Linked DNA regions of Sus scrofa. The protein of the gene in region 1 interacts with the protein of each later gene in a pairwise test. Links are inferred from orthologs where the notes say so. Each region holds a gene or a part of one and is shown on either strand. Other genes may lie near its edges.

Region 1 (4,315 bases):
TGATCACCTGCTACCAGGTGAGGTTAAGTGCGAGGGAGAAAGTGGATTCACCTTTCCCACAAGCACATCTAGGCCGATCCAGAATCCAGAAAGCTCCCTGGGCCTGGACCTCCAGACATTCAGAGGCCTGGGTCCCTCTAGCCCCACTACCTCCCTGGTCCCGCACCCCCAGCCCCAACTCACCGGGAGATGGCAAAGAGACCAGTGAGCAGAGGGAGCAGTTTGAGGGTGTCCTGGGGCAGGTAGGTGGAAAGCACCGCCAGGTTGAAGAAGTAAAGGATGAAGAGCTGGACCGACTGGGCCACATATCGCCGGTGGATCTCCACCTCCCGCCGTGGCTCCCCAAAGGGCCGCAGGGCAGAAAAGCACAACAGGCTCAGCCCGTACACCAGGATCCCTGGGTGGGGTTAGAGAACACAGGGTCAGAAGAGGAGCAGCAGGCAGGAAGCTGGAGGCAGGGTCCATAGTGGAGAGCTCAGGGGCATGGGCTCTACACTGTGGGGCAGAGGTGGGCACACAGGGTAGCGGGGGGGCCCCCCCGAGGGTCCAGGTCTCACAAGGGGAAACTCTCCTGCTCTCCAAGCCAGGAAGGCCCTGCCCTCCAGTCCAGCTCCCAGATGCCCCCTCCCTTTTCACAGGACCCAGGCTCACCCAGAACAATGGGGAAGGTGGCAAAGACCCCGCAGCGCAGCGTGTAGACGAGGCGGGAACTCATGGTCGGCAGGCGCGGGGCGTCGAAGGGCAGGAAGGCATACGCCCCGTAGAGCAGGCAGGGGAAGAGGATGAAAGCAGCTCCTACGGAGGCCACAGCCCTGAGCCCCTCATGGCCTCCGCAGCCCTCGCAGCCCCCACAGGAGCGGCCAGGCGGCCTCACCACTGCCTCAGCCCACTTGCGCTCAGGGGGCTCAGCGGGGGCGGCCCGGGTGGGCAGGAAGGTCCGGCGGCGTTCGCCCTCGCTCGCCTCACAGCGCACAGCAAGGTCCTCCTGTGGCCGCCGCTCAATGCACTGCAAGTCGATGGGCACGAAGGCTCGGGCCGCCTTCTCAGGCAGCAGGCAAGCGTCATCTTCGGGCAACTCCTCCAGCTTGGTGGCTGGCTCTGACTCGAGGGGCTCAGGCTCAATGTCTCTCCAGCCTGGGGGATCTGGGAACGGGGCACTGGGCTGGGGGCCAGCCCCCCAGGGCAAGGTGGCAGCCTCACTTACTGTGCTATCTAGCCCATCCTCAGTCCCCTGTCCGGCTGTGGGAGACCCAGCTGAAGACCCCACTCTGGAGGACTCGGCTCTGGGAGACTCAGCTCCACCCTCCCCCTCTGTCTTCTCGCCATTGGGGACCAAGGCCTGGGGTGGGCTTTTCTCCAGGGCTGCAGGCCCCTTCACCTCCAGCAGGGCCATGGCCTCGGGTTCCGTCATCCTGGGGCCTCACTTCTGGGGTCTACCGTAAGGTCGTGTCACCCTGGAAGGAGCAGAGGGAAGCTCTGTCAGAAGCTGCTGCTCTTGGAGTTCCTGTAGTGGCTCAGTGGAAATGAATCCAACTAGTAACCATGAGGTTTCGAGTTCAATCCCCGACCTTGCTCAGTGGGTTAAGAATCTGGCGTTGCCACGAGCTGTGGTATAGGTTGCAGACGTGGCTTGGATCTGGCCTTGCTGTGGCTGTGCCATAGGCCAGCAGCTATAGCTCCGATTCCACCCCCAGCCTGGGAACCTCCACATGCCCCGTGTGCGGACCTAAAATAAAAAGGCCAAAAAAAAAAAAAAAAAAAAAAAAAAAGCTGCTGTTTTCTGGGTTGATAGAACCGAAGCTCAGCTGGTCTTACGGTGGGCTTTAGCCCCATCTGGGACCTTAGGGAGAACATGGTCCTTGTGTTGAAATAGAGTGAGGCAGGAGGGAAGTGAGCAGCTGAAATGGAGACACCCTTTCGACATCAAATGCTATTCACCAGGAGAGGGTGAGTCAGGGGGCACAGGCCCTGGCAGCTGTGGCCTCGCCTCCACCCACATCTCCTGCCCCTCTCCACCAAAACCCCTGGGGTCATGGCCACCCAAATGCAGGAATGAGAGGAAAAGGAGGTGTCTAGAAATTTGCCAAGGGCTTTCTTCTTGCTAAAGACCTTCTCGTGGACAGAGAAGCTTCCCTTTCACTTCCAAACCTTGCCTTCCCCTGAAGACCCCGGACTGGAACTCTCCTGGCAACTTATACCAACGATTTGCCAACAAATCTGTCCCAAGGAGCTGGCAGTAGCAGGGGACCCTGTTCTTTCGTCTCCAATCTGGATACTTGGTCGGTTTTCAAACTTCTCACCAACCCACTCCACATCTGAAGGGCCTGGGTCTGTCCATTTTGACCTCTAGGTCTAATCAAAGCTGTTTCCCATGCCTCCTCTCCTGTCTTTCTCCCCTCCCTGCCGTCCTCCATCTCACTGCTTCTGGATGAGGCTAACTTCCCTCCCTTCACTGCTCAAGGACCTCCGATCCCTTAATGTTTGGACCCGTGACACCCACTTACTTTCCATCTGGAGAGAGGTAGAGGGTCCCCAGCGTCCGGGAAGGAGCTGCCTAGCTCGCTGCTGGCTCTGCAAGTATTTCTCTCCGTCTCCCTCCCTTTACCTGGGTCTCCAAACCTGTCTGACCAGAGCAGGTGGGGCCCAGATTAAAGGGCAGGCCCCGCCCTGCTGAATCTGCCGACAGAAAAAGCCTTAGAGAAGGACGTCATGCTCTCTGAAAGTGGGGGTGCAGCTGAGCCTAGAGGTAAGTGTGTTCTAGGAACATGGGTTTTGTAGGAACTCCCAGCACAGGAAAGCAAAGGGGGAAGAATGGGTTTGTGCATCAGAAGGTGCTTGGGGAGTTCCTGTCATGGCTCAGTGGTTAATGAACCCTACTAGTATCCATGAGGATGCAGGTTCGATCCCTGGCCTTGCTCAGTGGGTTAAGGATCTGGCATTGCTGTGAGCAGTGGTGTAGGTCACAGACGCAGCTCGGATCCTGCTTTGCTGTGGCTGTGGTGTAGGATGACAGCTACAGCTCCAATTGGACCCTGGCCTGGGAACCTCCATATGCTGCGGTGTGGCCCTAAAAAGACAAAAGACCAAAAAAAAAAAAAGGATGTTGGAGTAGGTTGGAAAACACCCAAAAGAGAGGTGGAATTTCTACACTTATTCATTCAATATTTATTGAGCACCTGTTATTAGTTAGGCACTATTCTGGGCATAGACATAGGAAAGAACGAGATGACAGGCAAAGTCTCTGGACTTAAGGGGCTTGTTCTGTTGGGGTAGCAGATAATAAAGAAGCCTAGAAAATAAATCAATAAGACAATTTCAATAGGAAAATTTCTTTGCCAAAGTGATATTTGAGTTGAGACCTGCTGGGAATCAGGAGAATGGGTGTTTCAGGCAGAGGAACAACAAGTGAAAGGCCAATAAAAAGGAAAGACAGGTTGTTTCAGGAACATCTCCCTAAGCACCTTGCTTTTTAGGTTAGGTTTAAGGTTACAAAAACCGTGGCACAGTGGTTTAAGAACGTGACTGCAGTGGTTCTGGTCACATAGATCACAGCCATGGCTTGGATTGAATCTGTAGCCTGGAAACTTCCTTATGCTGAGAGTGTGGCCATTAAAAAAAAGACAGCAATAGGAATCCACAGTGATCTTTCCTATGGGAGGACCAGGGGGCAGAAATGTAAGGGTGTAACTTCTCATTCCTGTGGATCTTTTCCCCTTAAGTCATTAGAGCTTCGTAAGGGGAGGGACAATGTCTGAATTGCTCATCTCTGTGACTCCAAAATCCAGCACTGTGGCTGGAAGACAGCAGATGTTCAATAAATGTTTACTGGAACAGTAAGTGAGGAACATGCAAGTGGAAATCTTTGGGTTGGGGTCGGAAGCTGAAGGGCTGAGGTGTCTGTGTAAGAGTCTTATCTTGGAAGGCCTTGTCATACTCGGTTCTTTCCAAAAAAAATTTCACATACAAGTTTTTTGCTTGTTTAAATAATGGGGGAAAAGAGAGAATTAGAATCACTGTAACTAGTAACCTGAAAGAGGCTCGACTCAAATGGGGGCGACAGAAAAACGAACCAAATGACCACAGTCAGACAAGGCAAAGCCACACTCCTAGCTGTGAGCCCATCTGCTTAGGCTCAGCCCTCCTTAGAGTCCGCTGTTCGCTCTCTGGCAACTTTGTCAATAAAGTTTTTCACAAGGGCTTGCAGAAGCCGGAAAGAGGCCATGCCGCCCAGAGTTAGTTCTGGCAACTTCCCGGGAGGGAAAACGACTTTCGCGAGATTTGGTAGCAGCAGGCCCCCTGGCCTGCAACTGTGCAA
Region 2 (4,301 bases), on another chromosome or scaffold:
GCCTGGAGTCTGAAATCTGTGGCTTTAGGTGGGGGCATTGTCCAGGCAGAACTAGCGTCTCTGGATACTGCAGAAGGAAGGTGGACCTAGGCGGACCCATAAGGGTGGCCACGCCCAGGAGGGTTGATTGGCAGGCTGGAAGGCATGGTCTCCCGGTAAAGGCACTTTCAGTAGGGGCGGGAAGGAGTTATTGCGATGGAGGTGTTATTTGCAGGTTGCTGAGACACGCGAAGGGAGTTCACCTACACGGGGCCATCTGCAGGGTCTACAAATGAGGAGAAGAGAGAAACAGCATTGGCAGGTTCCTGTTACAGATTTTAAGACGCCCATTTTACCGATAAGTATACTGAAGCTTATGGTACTTTTTGGCACTAAAGCCTTGAGTACCAAGAAGGGACAGAGTTCGCATTCGTGCTCTTGGAAGACCTCTTGCTTTCTCAGTCCCCTTAACCACACCGCCCCCCCCCCCCCAACACACCCACACACTTACCAGTAGGGGCTGCTGTATGTCTTTGCTGCCTCAAGGGGAAAGTAATGTAGGCATCGTAGCCAAACAAGCATGCAGCCAGTAGGCCCAGTACCTGGAGAGGGTGATGAGAAGGAGGTGGGTTGGATTAGGGCAGGTCACACTCCTCATTCTTTTACTTCCTTGTACCTACCACCTTCAATGACTACCCCACGCAGGGATGATGACTAAAGCCCCAGGTTGAGAAGTCAGAGAGCCCCAGGGAAAGGCCAGAGATGAGTCTCTACCCCCACCCTCCCCCTTCCTAGTACCTCTCAACACAGTGCAGCCACAGAGTGGCCCCATATATAGGCGGCCCCATTCATACTGTACACGGAGACAAAGCTCTAGCAGATGGTAGTCTAGTGTATTGACAAAGGGGCCGTCTCATTGTGCTTCCCACACAAGTCCCTGTGTTGGACAAATTGTGGCCCTTTATTGCCAATGACACTTGGGGGAGGAAAACCAGGACCTGAGTCAGCCTTTTCTGCAGGAGGCCCTGAGGACAGGTGTGACCTCCTGTGGGTCACACACTTTCTGACAGAAGCAGAGACACAAATGGCCCCGGGAGCCTCAAACCCCTCTCCCAGTGCTTCAGAGCCACAGCCTTTACCCCTGCGGCAATTTTGGAGCTGTGTCCTCCCTCCACGAGCACAAGGATGGAGGTGATCAGGTAGAGGATGGCTGCTATGAGGGTTCGGAAGAAATCCTGTGAAGGGCAGGGAGAAGAGGAAAGTCAGCATTCAAAATCCCCCCCCTCCCCAAGCCCCTCCCTAGCCTGGTCATTGTGGCCCCTTTCTCACACTCCAAGGCCAGTTGATGATTTGTATCTTGGTGTGCAGGTCACACATGTAGATGACAAAGAAGACAGCAGCAAAGATCATCTCTATCACCGACAGGAAAGAGAATCCTGACGTCGCGGCACTGAAGCAGATCAGAATCACCAGGCACACTACCTGGAAAGATAGGCGAAAGGGGGCTTCGATCGATCGACTCCAAGGGCTGAGGGCGTGGGTTTAAATTGGGGGTGGGGAGGGTCTCAAACTCAGATGCCCACCAGGACTGGGAAGATGACCAATAGCTAAACACTTAATGTGTGCATACTGTGTTTGGGATATTGTTCTAAGAGCTGTACAGGTATTAATTCCCTCAATCATCGCAACAACCTAATGAGCCAGGTACTATTATTAATACCTTTATGTCATAGATGAGAAAAGAGAGGAACAGAGAGACACGAGGTAACTTATCCAGGGTCACCTAGCTAGGGAGGGGTAGGGTTGGGTGCCTCAGTTTCCCCTCTTTTCCCTTCTAGGATAGCCCAAGGGGAGTGGTGCCTTCAGGTGGTTTTTGTGAGCGCTGCTGGCGCCAGCTTCAGGGCTTTGACGGGGCGGGACGTGCGGTTCCCCGGGCAACCCCTTTGGGAATCGGTGCGAGTGACACCGGAGGGGCAGGGCTCTGTTAAAGGCGCCGCACCTCTTTTACGAGCGACTCAAAGGAGGCACCCCCTTTGCCGGGGGTGGGAAACCGAGGCTCCCGAGCGGCCCCAATAGCTAAGGACCTCCCGCCCCGTCACAGAGGAGCGAGGAAGAACTGGGGTAGGACGGGTGGCCCTGCCCCGCGGGACAAGCGCGCGCGGGGGCCCCACCCCAACAGGTCCCGCCCCTGGGCGCTCTGCCAGCCCGCCCGCCACTGCCCAGGCCGCGCCACGCCCTGCCACGGGAGGATCCCCCACCACCCAGCCCCGGGAACCCCTTCTATGAGTCCACTAATGAATCTACGGGGTCTCCTTCCGCGGGGTCGCCCGTATGCCCTGTGGGCCTCGTGCCTGACTCCATGGGCCAGCAGCTGCCGACCACCTTCTCCAAACCTCACTGACTCGCCCTGCATGTGCCCCTGGTTTCGGGCCTCCGTCACCGACCCACCCACCCCGCGCCCCACTGCCGATCACCCGCGGCCGCGAGCCTGCCTCCCCCGGGGCTGCCCCAGTCCGCGTGATCCAGCCACTCCACCCGCCTTTGCCCACCAGCCAGTCCCAGGACACTTACAATCTCAGCCAACAGGACAAATCCCTTTCGGGTGCGCGAGAAGTTGGTGCAGGCGGCCCAGCAGCCCGGGGCCGAGAGGCGCTCGGAATCCGCCATGGCGTGGACCTGAGTCCCGAAGGGCGCCGAGGAGCTGCTCGCTTGCTTGCGGGTTCGAGGACGCTGCACACCCAACCGTCTTCCCCGCCGTCTGGCCGGGAAGGGGGCCCCGGGGCGAAGGAGGGAGTGAATCACCGCGCGGAGCAGAAGCGGGCGGGGCCGGAGCGGGCTGGGCCAGGTGGCTGCCGCCCCGGAAGCCCCTCGCCCCGCCCGCCAAGGATTCTCCTTGCCCAGCGCACAGCGCACAGCGCCCCCCACCCCGCCCCGGGGCGCCCCATCTCGGGCGGCGGGGGGGGGGAACTACCAGCTTCTGAGGCTCGGCAGTTCCTCGTAACGTGTGTTGAAAGGAGACGACCCTTCCCGTTTTTAGAATACAAATGTGCCTGGGGCTGCCTCAACTCAGAAATGTTTTGGCTTTGGGGAGGGAGTGCCTCAGTTTCCTTAGCTGGAAAAAGGGCCAAAGCCAGGGTTAAATTCAGGTCCGTTTTCAGAATTCAGCATATTTCGGGGTTTAGAGAGTTTTCCCAGTGCATATAAGATATATGACTTTTCTCAGCGGTGTCTGAGACTGCCCGGTTAAAAACTAACAAACAAACACGTTATTTCCTCATGGAATGGTGTGGCCGTTCACAGCAAGTGGGATAAGCCAGGACCAAAAATCACTCCTGGTTAAGTCAAGTTTTGTAACCAAATGAACCAAATGGTGCCCAACTTTGTGGGAAAACTGTGGGTCTCTGGAGTTTTTTTGGATTTTGGAATTGTGGACAAAAGGTCATAGACGGTGGAATAAACCTCTTAGTAGCAATGGGAATGGGACCTCGCCAGTGCACAGACCCGAGACAGAGAGAGAACAGAGCCTGTGGAGCATCACGCTGCTGAGTAGATGAGGGTGGACTTTTTTAATAGTGTCAGAGCCCAAGATATGATTCTCTGTTCTGCAATTCTGGGGAGGTCTTGGCCCTAAGTGCTGAGCTTCTGTTTCCTGCTTCTAAGTAAAGGGTCTGTCAGCCCAGTCCCAGATGAAGAATGGGGAAGGAGGACAGGCTTATTTATTGCTGGGAGCTTGGCAAGATGAGGGCAAGGCTCTTGGGTGCCAGGCTCGGTGAACAGGCTGATGACATTTGAAGAGCGTGTTATCCTGAGCGAGTAATTTCTCCTGACTCAGCCTCAATTTCTGCATCTGCGACATGCACCTGGTCACGGGCATCAGGATCTCCCCCAAGATGTGCTGAGGGGCACACCCTCCAGAGTGGGTGTTGCTTTCATTCTCATCTCATTGGAAGGCCAGGATGGTTCAACCAAGGCCGGTCTGCTTTCCGTCCCCAACCCGGAGTCCCACACAACCACAGAAGGGGCTCCCCTCTTTCAGCCCAGGTTGCCTGAAGAGTGATTGGATAGTGGAAGGCATGAAGCACACTTCCCAGAGCCAACTGTGTGCTTTCCAACTCTTTGAGGACGTGCCTGAGTTTCTAGAACAGAACAAACCCTGCTCTGCATCAGGGCCTTTGAACTTGCTGTCCCCACAGCTGTCAATATCCTTTTCCCAGCCCTTCAGACACCTAGCTTCTTCTTCTTTTTTTTTTTTTTTTTTTGGTCTTTTTAGGGCCGCACCCACAGCATATGGAGGTCCCAGGCTAGGGGTCCAATCAGAGCTA

Evidence for each region. The genes of interacting proteins can lie anywhere in the genome.
Region 2: the proteins of TMEM79 (region 1) and PLP2 interact in binary tests that used the Homo sapiens proteins (3 or more experiments, as listed by UniProt). The two-hybrid records come from large-scale screens. The link is inferred for Sus scrofa from reciprocal best matches to the Homo sapiens genes TMEM79 and PLP2.

The regions. Positions count from the first base shown.
Region 1 is NC_010446.5:93,766,009-93,770,323, forward strand, and holds the start of TMEM79 (transmembrane protein 79), read right to left. Parts: upstream 2,833-4,315; 5' UTR 2,505-2,832; intron 1,455-2,504; 5' UTR 1,412-1,454; coding exon 652-1,411; intron 398-651; coding exon 184-397; intron 1-183.
Region 2 is NC_010461.5:43,213,883-43,218,183, reverse strand, and holds the start of PLP2 (proteolipid protein 2), read right to left. Parts: upstream 2,813-4,301; 5' UTR 2,647-2,812; coding exon 2,551-2,646; intron 1,462-2,550; coding exon 1,309-1,461; intron 1,215-1,308; coding exon 1,119-1,214; intron 582-1,118; coding exon 491-581; intron 266-490; coding exon 243-265; 3' UTR 1-242. UniProt on the Homo sapiens protein: May play a role in cell differentiation in the intestinal epithelium.